2 separate regions of the Mus musculus genome follow, and region 1 is reported to be linked to region 2. Evidence: microRNA targets listed by miRTarBase, many of them from high-throughput screens and not tested one by one. Region 2 holds a microRNA gene; the other region holds the end of a gene's coding sequence.

Region 1 (7,121 bases), not on the chromosome of region 2:
AGCTAATTGTTCTGTTTCTTTTGTATGCACAGAAGTCATACACATACATCCAATTTCACCACATGGAATATTTAAAAGGCATGTACTTGGGGACAAGATGTAATGAAAGTAACATTTAAAATATTTAATTTTTTTTAATTTGGGGGAATCCCATGGAAGAGGGACAGGAAGAATCATAGGAGCCAGAGGGCTCAAGGACATCACAAGAACACGGCCCACAGAACTAAGTATGGCTCATAGGGGCTCCAAAGACTGAAGTGGCCATCATGGACCCTGCATGGCTCTGAGCTGGGTCCTCTGCATCTGTGTCATGGCTGTGCAGCTTGGTGTTCTGTGGGACTAACTCCTAACAGTGGGAGTGGGGCTTCTCTGACTCTTAGAGCCTTTTCCTCCTACTGGGTTGCCTTGTCTAGCCTTGAAATGAGGGTTTGTGCCTAGTCTTGTAACTTGTTATGCTGTGCCCCATTGATATCCCTGGGACACTGGCTTGTTGTTGTTGTTTTGTTTTTTTTGAAGGAAAAAGGAGGAGGATCTAGGGGGAAAAGGAGGTGGGAGGGGAGGGAGTGGGAGGAGAAGAGGGAGGGGAAACTGTGGTCAGGATGTAATACATGAGCGTTTCCAGGACAGCCAGAGCTACATGGAAAAACCATCTCAAACAAAATACCCACATCAATAAAAACTTTCAGTTATATGTGTATGCGTGTTTTGCCTACATGTATGCCTGGTATCCATAGAGGCCAGAAGAGAGCACTGGGTCTCCTGGAACTGGAATTACAAATGATTGTAAGCCATCCTGTGGGTGCTGGGAATTGAACGCAAGTCCTCTGGAAAAGCAGCTGGTGCTCTTAACTGCTGAGCCATCTCTCCAGGCCTCTTCATGTCCCTTTATCACACTGGATAAGGGCTATATTTTATTTGTTCCATTCTTCCCAGGACCCAAGATGTGCTAAGTAAAGTATATTTAATTAGTTGGAATTTTCCTTCAACATCCTATTTGGTGATAGAAAAACTAGACCAAAAGCCCAGGCCACCGTTACCTCTTCTTTTCAAGTTGCCTTCTAAGTTAGTTCATGTTATTCCCCTGTGTGTAGCTTCATGCATATTAGTATATAGCATGCATACAGGAGGCACTTTGTAAATGCAAATTAGAAATGAGGTGTTCGCCGGGGCGTGGTGGTGCATGCCTTTAATCCCAGCCCTCAGGAGGCAGAGGCAGGCGGATTTCTGAGTTCCAGGCCAGCCTGGTCTACAAAGTGAGTTCCAGGACAGCCAGGACTATACAGAGAAACCCTGTCTCAAAAAAGAAAAGAAAAAAAAAGAAAGAAAGAAAAAAAAAGAAATGAGTTGTTCTGCCAGGTGTGGTGGTGCACTTCTTTAATCCCAGCACTCAGGAGGCAGAGACAGATGGATCTCTGTGAGTTCAAGACCAACCTGGTCAACAGAGCAAGTTCCAGGACAGCCAGGGATGTTACACAAAGAAATCCTGTCTTCAGAGAGTTGAGGGCTCCTGTGGGTCCCGCTTGGGGTTTAATAATAAAGACAAGGAGGCTCAGCTACCTATCTAGACTCAAGCCCACCTCCCTGCCACTGTCCCTCTCTCCATGTGGCTGTGGCTCTCTCTGCTCCACCTCCCTGCCCTGCTCCAGTTCTGCTAAATCCCCCTCCCCAGCATCAGCAGCCAGCATACAAAAAGCCCTATTAGTATGGTGGGAGAGGTATCACAGCTTAGTCACTGTGAACCAATCAGCAGCAGGACGACACTTGACCATCTCTTCCGCTGCCCGCCCTTAGGCTGGTCTGAGGGCTACTGTGAGCCCCCCAGCAGGCAGCTTACTTTTTAACATGATTCTCTCTGAGAATCTTCTTTTGGGGCAGGTGAGGAAACAACAAAAACCTGGTGTTGTCTGCACAGCAATGACCAATTGAGAATGCAGGGACACTCCTTCATAGCCAGTCGATAGGATACATGTGGGGTAGGTTACCCCCACGTGTTTGTGTTTGTCGTGTACTCACACACATACTGCATATGTGTGGGATGGGGTAGGCTCAGAAGGCAATCCTCTGCAATGTGAGACACAAAAGAAACCTTTCAAAAGTTGGGTCTGGGCTCACAGATATTCTTCCCACAGTCTGCTAGAGAACTCTCTTTGGGAATTTGCTGGCCACCTCATAATATTCCATTTGGCCGTGGGCTTGTCAGTGTGGTGAGGAATTGTTATTTTAAGAGCACTGAGTGAAAGAAAGAAATGAGAAAAGAAACTGCTTTGGCCACTTACTGCAGGAACTACAGCACTTCCAACTTAGCTGTTGCACATCAGCCTGGTGACTGCCCAAGTGGGGACTGGTAAGTCAGAGAGAGCGGCAGCTGCTGCTTCATTTACTATAAAACGCTTGGCAGGAACTCCAGTAACTAGGACTCCTTCAAACACAAAGAATTCCCACCATTGGCTTTGAAGGACAGTGGAGACATTGGTATTCTAAGCTGATGGGCCAGATTTTTTTTTTTTTTCTCGAGACAGGGTTTCTCTGTGTAGCCCTGGCTGTCCTGGAACTCACTCTGTACACCAGGCTGGCCTCAAACTCAGAAATCCGCCTGCCTCTGCCTCCCAAGTGCTGGGATCAAAGGTGTGCGCCACCACGCCCGGCTGGGCCAGATTTTAAAGAAGTAATTTGATTAATTTGGTGATTTCGCACTTTTATCCCAAACCACGTTTCAGACAGTTGATTTTTCCCCTTTTTTAAGATTGGAAAATATGATTTTGAGGTCATATTTTACTCATTCATCAAGTATTTACTCAGTGCCTATAGCTGATGCCTGCTTGGAATGACTCCCACTTCAGTCTCCTTCCCTTGGACAGCTTTAGGCTCTTGGGATCTATCTGAACAAGGCTTGGACCCAGCCTCTGTAGAGCTGACATTCTAGCAGGCCTAGCAGCCTAAATTATAAAGAAGTTTAAATGTTGGATGGTGGTTGATAAGTTATTTCTCCACCAGTGAAAATGAGCCAGTTCAAACAGATTAATATAAAGGCAGGTTTATTGGGAAGCTGCACTTGGGTGGGCAAATTCACTGGCCCCAAGGAAGCAGGCCAGGGAAGTCATCTTGGGGAGGGAGACAGAGGGGAGGGGGCAGAGAGAGAAAGGAGAAAGGGAGAAGAGAGAAGAAATCAAAATGTCTGGATTATATATAGAAGAGACTCTGGGGGAAGGGCAGCCCAGCCCCGGAGCTGGAAAGTTCAGGGTTAGGAGTAGGGTGTGCCAGTTAGGCACTGAGGGATGCTGGGAGAACCTGGAGGCCTGGTCTGCTTTGGATGTAAAATATGCACCTCAGCTGTTTTGTTCTAGAGTCTGAACCCCTCTAGTGGTGGCGCACGCCTTTAATCCCAGCACTCAGGAGGCAAAGGCAGGAGGATCTCAGAGTTCGAGGCCAGCCTAGTCTACAGAATGAGTTCCAAGACAGCCAGGGTTACACAGAGAAACCCTGTCTTCTATGATAAGCTTCTTTGTCTCCTAGGAATAAACCAACGAGGAATGAGATAATTAAAAGAGAGGGCATTTGGGGGGTGTGGCTCAGTGGTAGTGTGTAGTACACACAAGGTAAGGGAGAGGACAAACTGGCCAAGGCAAGGAAAGGGCAGCAGAGAAAAACATGAGAAATGAAGTTGAGCACACTCAGGTTTGAGAAAACAGCTGATCACAGGAGTGCTGACTGCATGTCACCGACCACACATCTGTAGTCATAGCAACGGAGACTGATCTTACCTCCATTACTGAGGAAAGCAAGTGCCATCCACAGGTTGCCCCTGAGCAAGCAGTGGCAGAAAACCCTTCACATGAAAGGGTTCCTTAGCATTTTGGTGGCAGATATAGTACTGCTGCAAGTTTGTGGCCAGCCTGGGCTACATAAGGAGTTTTAGGCCAGGACAGCTAAGATTACAAGCAAGACCATGTCTCAAAACAAAACCAAAGTGAGGACTGTAAGTGTCTCAGAGATGAGTCATTTGATGGGTCATGTAAAGAATAAAATGTTTCCGGGCTTATTAAAGAGCAAACTGGCTCAGCAGTTAAGAGCAGTTATAGCTCTTCCAGAGAACCTGGGTTTAGTTCCTAGTACCTACATCAAGTGGCTCACAAATGCCTGTAATTTCAGCTCCATGGGATCCAATGCCTTTTTCCAGTCTCCTTGAGTGCCTACAGTCACGCACACTCCCACCCCATAGACATCCATATATATACGTGATTTTAAAAATAAAATTTTAATAGAGAATAAAATATTTCAGTGGATCCCCTTAGAAGTATAATTCATCACCAAGAAGACACTTGCTCTACACTGCTACTTAATGAGAAAGATGTAGCAAGCTTCTGTGGGGAGTGTGTGCTCTGGAGCAAACACCGACTTAGCCTTGGTGCTTTGCAGCTGGTGCCTGACATCTGTACTCCACACTTCATCTCTAAATGAATAAGTAAATGCAAAGCAGCCTGAAAAATATGGTGTAAAAGAGTTATTAAGGGCATGTGTGGGGGCATAGAGACAAACTGCACCCCACAGCTTCTGCAGGGAAGGCCCTTCCCAGACACTATGGAAGCACTCCTTCCCCAACAGAGCCAGGGGAGCTTTCTGAGAAGCAGAGTTTGGTGGGTGTGTGTGCAGGTGCTGGGGCTCCCTGGGAGGGAGGGTGTTCATGTTTGTCTCCTGTGGGTCCCCCAAAGCACATGGGCGGATGGGGCTGCCCCAGGAGGCTCAGTGTGTGGGAAAGATAGGTCTGGGCGTGCACACAGCCATGTGAAGAGGCTTTCTCAATGGCACCGTGAGCTGAAGACGACACATTAGGAAAGATTTTTAGGGCTCAGTCTGCTTTGATGGGTAACTGACTGTTTACACTGTACCAGGACACCAAGATGGCGTCTAGTGCATTGAGCTTCAGGGTGGAAGTACTTGGGGTAAGACAGGGCTAGAGTCTCTGGACCTTAGATATGTGGCATTTGGGGGCAGACAGGTGCTCCCAAGTGTATCAGGATCCGGGTGCTCATCAGCTACCCCAGCTTCACCCTCCATGTGCCGTCATTCTGCTCACTTGCTGCTGGAGGTGAGCTTCCAGACTCTGAATCCCACAATCATCTCAAAAGCCCAGCCTTCTGTCCTCTGGTCTGAGCTCTCATTCCCAGGCTGTGCTACAGATGCCCCACTGTGTCACTGTGAAGCCCACCTCTCCCATCAGGCGCACATCCCCTGCTATCAGTAGGGTGGCAGCCCCGGAGCTCCTTCTAGGACACAGCGATTTTCTAGGAGTGCCATGAGTTTAGCAGGGATCCCAAAAGCACATTCTAAAAAAATGAATTTCTCCATTTATTCAATTTCCCCAATGTAAGACGTCCTACAGGAGTGCCATGGAGGCTCTTGAGGGTAATGGAAGGGTGTGCACCACCCTTAGAGGAAGTTTAACGTCTAGGCCTTATTTTAGAGTGTGGAAACAGCAACCACTGAAATTTCAGAGAGGACAGAAGGTCCCTCAGCTGTGAACTCTTGGGGGTGAAGGAGCAATGGAGTTGGGCTGGATATGATCCAGAAGACAGTAGTTTGGCTGCTGGTAAAGCCTGGGTATTGAGCGGATGTCCATGCCAAGCCTCTGGAAGAACAAAGCTCACACACCTCTGCTATGGAAAGAAGAAGGCTAGTATGCAAGGGATGGGTCTCAACTGGGGCTTCTTTCTTAGGGACCCGTGACCAAGGAGGATGACCTTACTCTGTCATTGGCCCCTTGCTCAAAGTACCATTCTACCAGTTTTTAAACATTTTGAGCCATGGCTGAAGCTAGAAAAAAAGAGGAATGGGGGAAACCAAAACATAGTCCATTGTTTGGGGAGCTAGATTGCCCCCTTCAAGTAGCTCAGGCCTGGCAGCGTGTGCTGGGCTTGTGGACGATTCCCTCTCACCAAGGCTAAATACCTAGGGAAGCAAGCCCCAGCACAGTAGGGTTCGTGGGTCTGTGGGGACTGGAGCGTCTGTGTCAATTCACGCCTCCCACTGCGACCAGACCATACTCAGGTACAGGGCCCACTGTGCTGACATTTCTGAACCCATCACCTCTGTTGAGACCCAAACCGGGCTGGTGTGGGTGAGGGCAGCGTACACGCTTAGGGCACGGCCTCACTCCTCCCAGGGACTCATGTCCGTGTCGATGGCCACACAGTTGTACGCGGCGTAGCGGAGCTTCTCCTCGCATACCTTGGCACTACAGAGGGAGGAAGGTGGTCTGTCCAGCATCTCTGCTGCTCCCAGGGTGCCCTTCCCTGCCAACCACCCTCCCACCTCGGGAGACTCACCTGGCATAGTGTGGGAGGAAGAGCGTGCTGGAGCAGGTAGAAGACTCAGGCAGGGCGTCTGTGGTCTCATAGCTGCAAGGTGGGAAGGGCAAAGGATTATGAGTTGTGGAGTGACGCGTATGCGTGCATGTGTGTGTGGGGGGCACCTTCTGCCCCTCTCTGTACTCATACTCACCCCAGTTTGTCTGGGTAAATGTAGATCCGAGCAGGGAGGCGGCTGCGGCCGGTGACAAAGCGCAGGAAACGGCTCCGGTCCTCTGGGTGGAGAAGAAAATTAAGGCTTGCACTGATGAAGGAAGCTCTATAAATTCCCGCCCGCCTCTTCAATCCACAAGCCACGTCCCAAGGCAAGGCAAGCAGCACTCTGCCCTCTACTGACCATTGGTGAAATTGTTCAGAGCCTCCCAAAAGTACTGCACGCGTGTGTCAGATGGTTCGAAGTCCTCAAACCGAGCTGGAGGGGCCAAGGCAGGAGTTCATGCTTAGCTCTCACTGGGCTAGTCCTTAAGCCCCGCCCCTTCGGCTTCACTGCCCTATCGCCTAGAACTCACTGAGCTTGCGCAGAGCATCCACAGTGACCTCTGGGTCCCCACACACCTTCTTTTCCAACTCTTGCCAGGTCAGCAAGTCCAGCACAGCCTGTGGTACCACCTTCAGCAGACCTGCCTGCATGGCTGCCACCTAGGGAGGAGGAAGAAGCCTGCCTGGGAAAGTTGGACACTACTTTCAGCGTACACTGGGGCATCTCTGTACTCACTGACCAGCAGGAATGGGGTGCAGTCATGGAAGCCAGCATCA
Region 2 (7,121 bases):
GAAGAAAGGACTGAGGACTGTGGATAAGGGGTGGGAGTGGAGGGAGCTTGGAAGAAAGCCCTCTAGTGCCAGTCAGGCTGGTGTGAATCTGCAGGGAGCTTTGTCCTGAAGAATCTGAAGGTTTGTATTTTTTCCACAGTCTATCATTTCTCTGCATGACTATCAAGGTATTTTCGTAGGAACCACACTACAGCACTGTCCTTCCTTTATTACTAGTCTCTAGGCAGTAGAGTCTCTAGGCTTGCATACACATTGGATCAATCACACCCCTCTCCCTTTCATTTTTCAAGACAGGGTCTCACTATATAGCTCTCTGCTTTCCCTGGAACTCTTTGTAGACCAGCCTGGCCTGGAACTCACTGAGATACAGTTTTCTATTTTTGGTTTTGTTTTTCTAGACAGGGTTTCTCTGTGAAAGAGCTTTGGCTGTCCTGGAACACAGCTCTGTAGACTAGACTGGCCTCAAACTCGGAGATCCTCCTGCTTCTGTTGCCTGAGTGCTGGGATTAAAGGCATGTGCCACTGTACCTGGCCTCCCTTCTTTATATAAGCATTTTAAGTTCAAGGAGAGAAGAAATCCTGGGTAAACATCATCCTTATGGCCCTATTAAGAAATACTGTTTCACACACCTTTAATCCCAGCACTCAGAAGGTAGAGGCAGGGGCAGGTGTAGAGGCAGGGCCAGTGTATTTCTGAGTTAAAGTCCAACCTGGTTTGCAGAACAAAAGATAATGTTTGGTGTTTTAGATCTTATAGACTACTCATATGCATGTTCTGCATTATAGCTTTTTTATTGGTTATAATAATAACAACGTATTATTAGCCCTCTGTCATAGTTTCATTTTCTAAGTTTAAGCATGATACACAGCTTTCCAGCTTACAGCCAGGCTTGAGTGTTAAAGAATACTGCTAAAGACAAAGTATTTTAGGTCCAGGTACCACACAGAACTCCATCCATCCTGTATTGAACATGTAGATGGACCTAGGAAACAGACTCTACTGATTTAGAAATGATAAACTAGACAATTCTATTTCCATAGAGGAAACCTTGTATTGTAACACTTCTTTATGATGAAAAGGTCATATAGTCTAAAGGGAAAGAATTACTGTAGAGATATGGAAAATGATCACTCACTCCTCTGGAGTTTACACACTTCTAAGAATTTCCGGCTCTCGGTGCTTGAAGACATAAAGCATACTTAGTTTTTAAAGCCATTAAAGTCTGTGTTAGAACATGTTTTTAGAGTTTTAATGACTGTCTTCTCCTGCTTCCCTTAAAAGGAATAAACCCTAACCCAAAGTTGAGAAAGAAAACAAGTTGTTTGTTGTGTCTCAAGACTCACCTTCTCTTACCCCTCAGTGTGGGATAATAACCTTGCCTTGACACTCAAAAGCTACACCTCTTTATTAATAGTTAGGATAACAGGGCTGGAGAGATGGCTCAGTGGGTAAGCATGTAAGGCTCTTGAAGAGGATTCAGAAGCAGTCGCCAGCACCTTCATGGAAGCTCAGAACTGCTTGTGGCTCCAGGACCTAGGTTATCTAACACCTTCTACCTCCACAGCCTCCTGAACTTACATGGTGCACTTGTATGCACTCTGGCACGTTCCCATGGGGGAAAAAGCCCCAGATAAACTGCTTGGAATAGAAGATAATTTTAGAGGTCTAGTTTAAGTCATAAAGCATAATAATGAGACCCCCTTTAAAAATACAAGTGACTCAATATGGTTACACAATTTGCATAGTTCTCTTTTTATTTATAATTTGAATCTACTGATTTCCAAATGCAAGGGCTCTGTACTGTCTTAGTGGTTAGCTGTAAGCTAAAGCAAGCACATGTTGGTATCTTTTAACTTAATTAGCACATCAGTTGACCACTTTGAATGTGTGACTGAGACAACTATTGGGCTTGCTTTCCTAGCTCTAAACCTCAAACTCAGATTCTAGAAATATGTATGCTGTTCTACATGTATGACCACTAATAGTTTTAGGGTAAAGCTTTTCTTTCAAACCAATAGGGCCATTGTTAGGATTACATTCTGAAAATGTTTTATTAATTTTTTTCCAGATGTGCATTTGATGAAAATTACTCTTCACCAACTTTATTTTTCAATGTTTACAGCACATCTGCTAAGTAAATTGTGAAGACAATGATTACCACATGGGTACTTCCTACCCAGTGAATTCAGAATCCTACATCACATCACACCTTTAACCAGTACGTCTTAGACAGGTTTCAAAACTTGCTTTTTTAGGGTACTTTTTTTCTTTGATCAAATATTTTCTGGAGAAAGGTAGTTTATCTTTTAGAAAGTTCCAAGAAAGACCACTTTCTCCTTAACCAGCATTTCATTTACAGAACTATTCTGAGGCTCCCAGGGATATCCTAAGACAAAGTCTGAACCATTGAATACTAACTTCCTCTCTGTCAAGGGGGTAACATGCAACCTGCAGTATCCAGAGGGAATGGTGAAAATAGGCACTGTGGTGGTGTATACCTATAATTCTTGGAAGTTAGAAAGCTGAGGTAGGAGGATGGCTGGGGCTTTGATGCCAGAACTGGGTTACAGTGATGTAGTGTCTCAAAATAAAACGACCAATCACCCAACCACCCACCCAACAAATCAACCAACAACCAACCAACCAACCAACATCTAACCAACCAACCAACAACCCAACCAATCAATCAACCATCTAGCCAACCAACCAACCAACCAACCACCCACCCACCCAACCAGTCAATCAACCAAAAACACCCCAAGCAAACAAAACTGTAACAACTATAAAACCTGTATAATTTAAAATGAAGCCATTATTTTTTCACTCTGATAAATTATCACCAGGTGCTTAACAAGCAAAAATTGGGATAATGATTCAAAGGATTGCCCAGGCAATAGCATCTTCTGAAATCTTGCATCAAGTGCTAGGAAATCCTGTAAAGGAAGAGAAGTATCGACTAGAGGAAGAGAGAAAGACTTCTTCCTTTGAGGAACTAGTCCATGTTGCAAACAGGAGGGTAAAAAAGGGACACACACAAGTATACAGGGAATCTGAGATTTTATTAGAGATCCTTTAAGCTTAGGAGGAACAGTTTATACAGCATAAGCAAGCCTACAATTCTAACGCTTTAAAATAGTTGCCAAGGTAATGCGATACAGCAAAGTGATTAATAAGGTACCACGTTAAAAAGGAGATACCTGCTCATATCCATAGCAATATCCTTTATAATAACCAAGAGAGGGAAGCAGTCAATGCCCGCCAGTCGATGAATGATCCACAAGATCTAGCAAATGTGCAGATTATTCAGCCCTAAAAAAGGAAATTCTGTCACATGCTAAATGAGATGAACTTGCGGTCATAACAGGAGACAGAATGGTGCCTGCCAGGGGCTGTGGGAAAGGAGAGGGAGGAAGGAGAACTCTTATCTTAATCATAGAAGATTTTAAGACCTGCACAATTGAAAGTTCTGCAAACGCTTCATTAAAGGCACAGGCATTTCCTGAATTGAACATAAAAATGGTGGCAATGGTGAAAATTTTGATGCTTTATCGCAATTAAACAAAAAAGCACCCTCCGGCCCAGATTTTATAACCATAAGTCTTCAGTTAGGGTAGGGAATTGAGAGTTCAAAGTTCTAGTATATAAAGATTAGTAACCATCCCAAGGCCCTTTGGAGGTGGAGGGTCTCAGAGCTAGACCTCATAGCCAGTGCTTTACCACTGAGTATACTTTAAAACCTTACTCAAGAGCCAAACCTTGCCAAGAATGGTGGCGCATGTCTGTAATCTCAGCTCTCTAGAGGTGGAGGCAGGAGGATTGTCAGAAGCTCAAGATCAGCAAGTTCCAGGCCGGTCATTGTTAGTTACATAATGCCTCGAAACCAAAAACAAAAACCACCACCACCAACAAAAATACAGAGCCAGGTCTGTGGTACACACTTACAGTAACAGAACCTGGGAGGTAAAAGCAGGAAGGTCAGAAGTTCAAGGCCAACCTTAGCTATACAGCAAGTTCAAAGCCAACCTAGGGTATGAGGTCCTGACTCAAAAAAACAAACCTAATTAAACAGTCCATAATTTCTATTTTTGGTCTCTATTTATGATGTAAATGAGTATAATGCCCCCAAAATACTCACAAAACATATTACACATCAACCTGGTGTGTGCACATGGATTCTAGGCAATGCTGATCTCTTAGGTAAGTGTGTTCATGAGGCACACACTCCAAGGAAGAAAACACTGAGAAGCACAAAACTCAATCTGTGGCATAAAAAAAATTCCCATAAACTTGGGGTAGAAATGGGATGAATATGGTGTAGAATAGTTGAGTTTTTCGGGTGAGCCTCAATAGGCGCCAGGCCCATTTGGAACTGTGACTGGGTGACGTAAATTTTGGTAGTGTGATAAAGATTGGTAGGAATGCATGATTTTGAGTTCCTTATGTATGGAGAGTTTATTAGTCTGCACAAAACATCAAAAGCATAAATTGTCAATGCTTACCATAATTTTTCAGTTTGGGTCTTCATGCATTTTCAGAATTCTTGTCTTCCAAATCAAAACAAATAAACACACAGTTGACTCTAGTAATGCCAGCTAGATTATGAGGTCATAACATATATTTATTAGATCAGGAAGAAAACTGAAGTTCTTAAAATTTTCTTCTGCACAATACTGCTGCAAAATCCACGGGCTTAACCATCTACTACCTCACCATACTCATGGTCCTGAGCCACAGAAACCTTAAAAGGAGCTCTGCTGCGCAGCAGACCCAGTGACAGGGAAAACATACTAATTTCTGAAACAAGAACTTAGAGCCACTCAGCATTAGAGTGGGAAGACGAAGACAGATGCTTGCCGTTCCGAAAGTGCCAATAAAGCATACAGCTGACAGAGACTGGTTAGACATCACTGGAAGTAGTTAAGAAAAGACAATTTGTCCAGTTTGGAAGAAGGCTGTTTTGAGAACGGTTTTGTGGCTACATTGCTGCTTTTTAAAATAGACATTTAAATCAGTTTTATCTGACGATAAAAATCACAAGACCAGTTCTCCTCACTGGGAATTAATAACAACCACATAGAATTTCTACCATAGGAAACTACTGGGGTATCAGCCTCGGGAGACTTTGTTATTACCAAATATTGTTATTTTGACTCCAGACAGATTAACCAGCCAGGGCTTGCTAAACAATAGGTACATATATAAGAACTGAATCTTGGTGAGTACAGGATGTGTAGTCAGCCTCAGTTATCTTCGGTCTTCATCCTCTGGGTGTTCCAGGAATGATGCACGGGTTTAGGTTGGTTCTAGGATAGGCCCAGGGGCCTGGTTTGATCTGGGATCCCTGGGACCATACCTAGAACAAACCCAAACAAAACCAGACTCCTTGGGAGTGCTTTCAGCTTGCATGGGCTTCTGGGCTTCTCACCCATGTGGGCCTCCAGGGCTGGATCAGGGCCACACACCAACCTTTAAGGGATAGGAGTGACATTCTTGGAGCCTTCTATATATTGTCACACACCAGTACTGTGCCTCAGCACTTTTAAGTCACAGACTTGAACAGAAGGTACAGAAAAATGCAGAACATACTTGGACTCAGAATCAGAGTCAATTTAGTCATTTAACTTGGAAGGAAAAGCGGGCTAAGAAGTTGTTTAGGTCATTGTAAAAGAGCAAACTTACAAAGGACATACTTTAGTTTTAGAAGAGATTTGCAACAATAAACTTATTTGTATGTAGTCAGTCTTTAGGACATGTTATAAAACTGTTATAAATCCTAAAATAATACTATCTATTTTAAGAAACTCTTAAGAAATAAGTGAGAAAAAATATCTATTTAGCATTATCTACAGGTAGTCCAATTTTTCAGCTTGTATAATCAGAAGTATACACACCCTAAGCATCATTTCCACTTGAGCAACATATGTGCTAAGTGAATCTCAGTACACAGGGATAAAACTAATGTCACTGCTGACACACTAAAGTGGATTCTAATGGACTGCATTTTAAAGACACCATGGGCATTAGAATCTATCACACAATCATCACTATATATATAAACCTTGGCCAGTCAGGAACTCACTATGTGGACCAGGCTGGCCTTGAAATCAGAGATATGCCTGCCTGTTTCCAGAGTGCAGGGATTAAAGGTATGTGCCACTACACCTAGATTTGATCACACATTTAAAGATAGGTATGAAATTAATTCCTCCTAATTCCTGCTGAATCTTGCCTATGTAAACCCCGGTATGAACTCCTTCTTTTTGGTTTACAGCAATTGCACTGGGTAGAATTGTGCTTCTCTAACAGCTTACTCAGAGAGAAGCACCAATCATGTCTGCCATCACTGTCTCTTCTACAATGGTGTCAATACAAGGAACTGGTTTGGACCATTCTTCTTACAATTATTATATCATAATTCCCTTCCATAACATGGGTAACTGGAGAGCAGCCACATGAAGCATGATTATGAAAGTCTGATACAGCATCCACGCTGAATGTAATGAGAGTGAGTTCCATGAAGCATGAGAATAAAATAGACTGACACACTACTCACTCTGTATATGATGACAGCGAGTCCCATGGTTAGCAAAGCACAGCACATAAACGGTACAACTAAGCAGATGTTAGGAGAGCCACTTCTAGACAGTCTAGTATTATTGGAAAATGTAATCTTGCTTATTTTATACACTGAAGGCTAATTTAGGCATGCCAACTACTGAATGACAGTGGATCTTCTGCCACTGAGTTAACACTGATGAATCATGGGAAACTTTTAATGTATACTTCACTTCCTTTAGCTGAATTAAAGAAAGCAAAGATGCTGTCAGCGTGGATGGTCTTTCATAATCATGTTATTCTTTGTGGCCTAGGTTCTACAATTGTAGTACTTCTCAGATATCTTCAATAATTGTTTTCTTATTTTCCATGGCTTAATCTACTTTGTCTTGGAAATGAAGACGCATTTATCTTAAATAAGAGAGCCAAAGAAATTCAGGACAGCATGTGGTTTCCAATTCAAATGGAAAGTATATATGACAGTAATCACTGCAAAAGAGTTACAGGTATAGAACCAACTTTAGAGAAGGCAAGATGTTGGGGAAAATTATCTTGTATAACAATA

The links. The annotated mature microRNA mmu-miR-331-3p reads GCCCCUGGGCCUAUCCUAGAA and lies in region 2 at 5,303-5,323, opposite strand. An mRNA with a match to its seed (bases 2 to 7 or 8) in the 3' UTR can be bound and repressed. Matches are read on the target gene's strand: a 7mer-m8 pairs with bases 2 to 8, a 7mer-A1 pairs with bases 2 to 7 and ends in A, and an 8mer does both.
Region 1: miRTarBase lists Hectd3 as a target of mmu-miR-331-3p. Seed matches in the 3' UTR shown: 7mer-A1 at 5,226-5,232.

Annotation. Positions count from the first base shown.
Region 1 is chr4:117,002,393-117,009,513 of GRCm38, reverse strand. Hectd3 (HECT domain E3 ubiquitin protein ligase 3) reads right to left here. Exons shown (of 21, transcript NM_175244.4): 17 at 6,875-7,004; 18 at 6,703-6,777; 19 at 6,499-6,580; 20 at 6,324-6,395; 21 at 4,237-6,232. The coding sequence ends at 6,148. Among named protein-coding and RNA genes, the nearest start is that of Hectd3, 11 kb to the right of the region's middle.
Region 2 is chr10:93,958,481-93,965,601 of GRCm38, forward strand. Mir331 (microRNA 331) reads right to left here and starts at 5,383; the gene lies at 5,288-5,383. Vezt (vezatin, adherens junctions transmembrane protein) reads right to left here. Exons shown (of 12, transcript NM_172538.5): 12 at 3,042-7,121.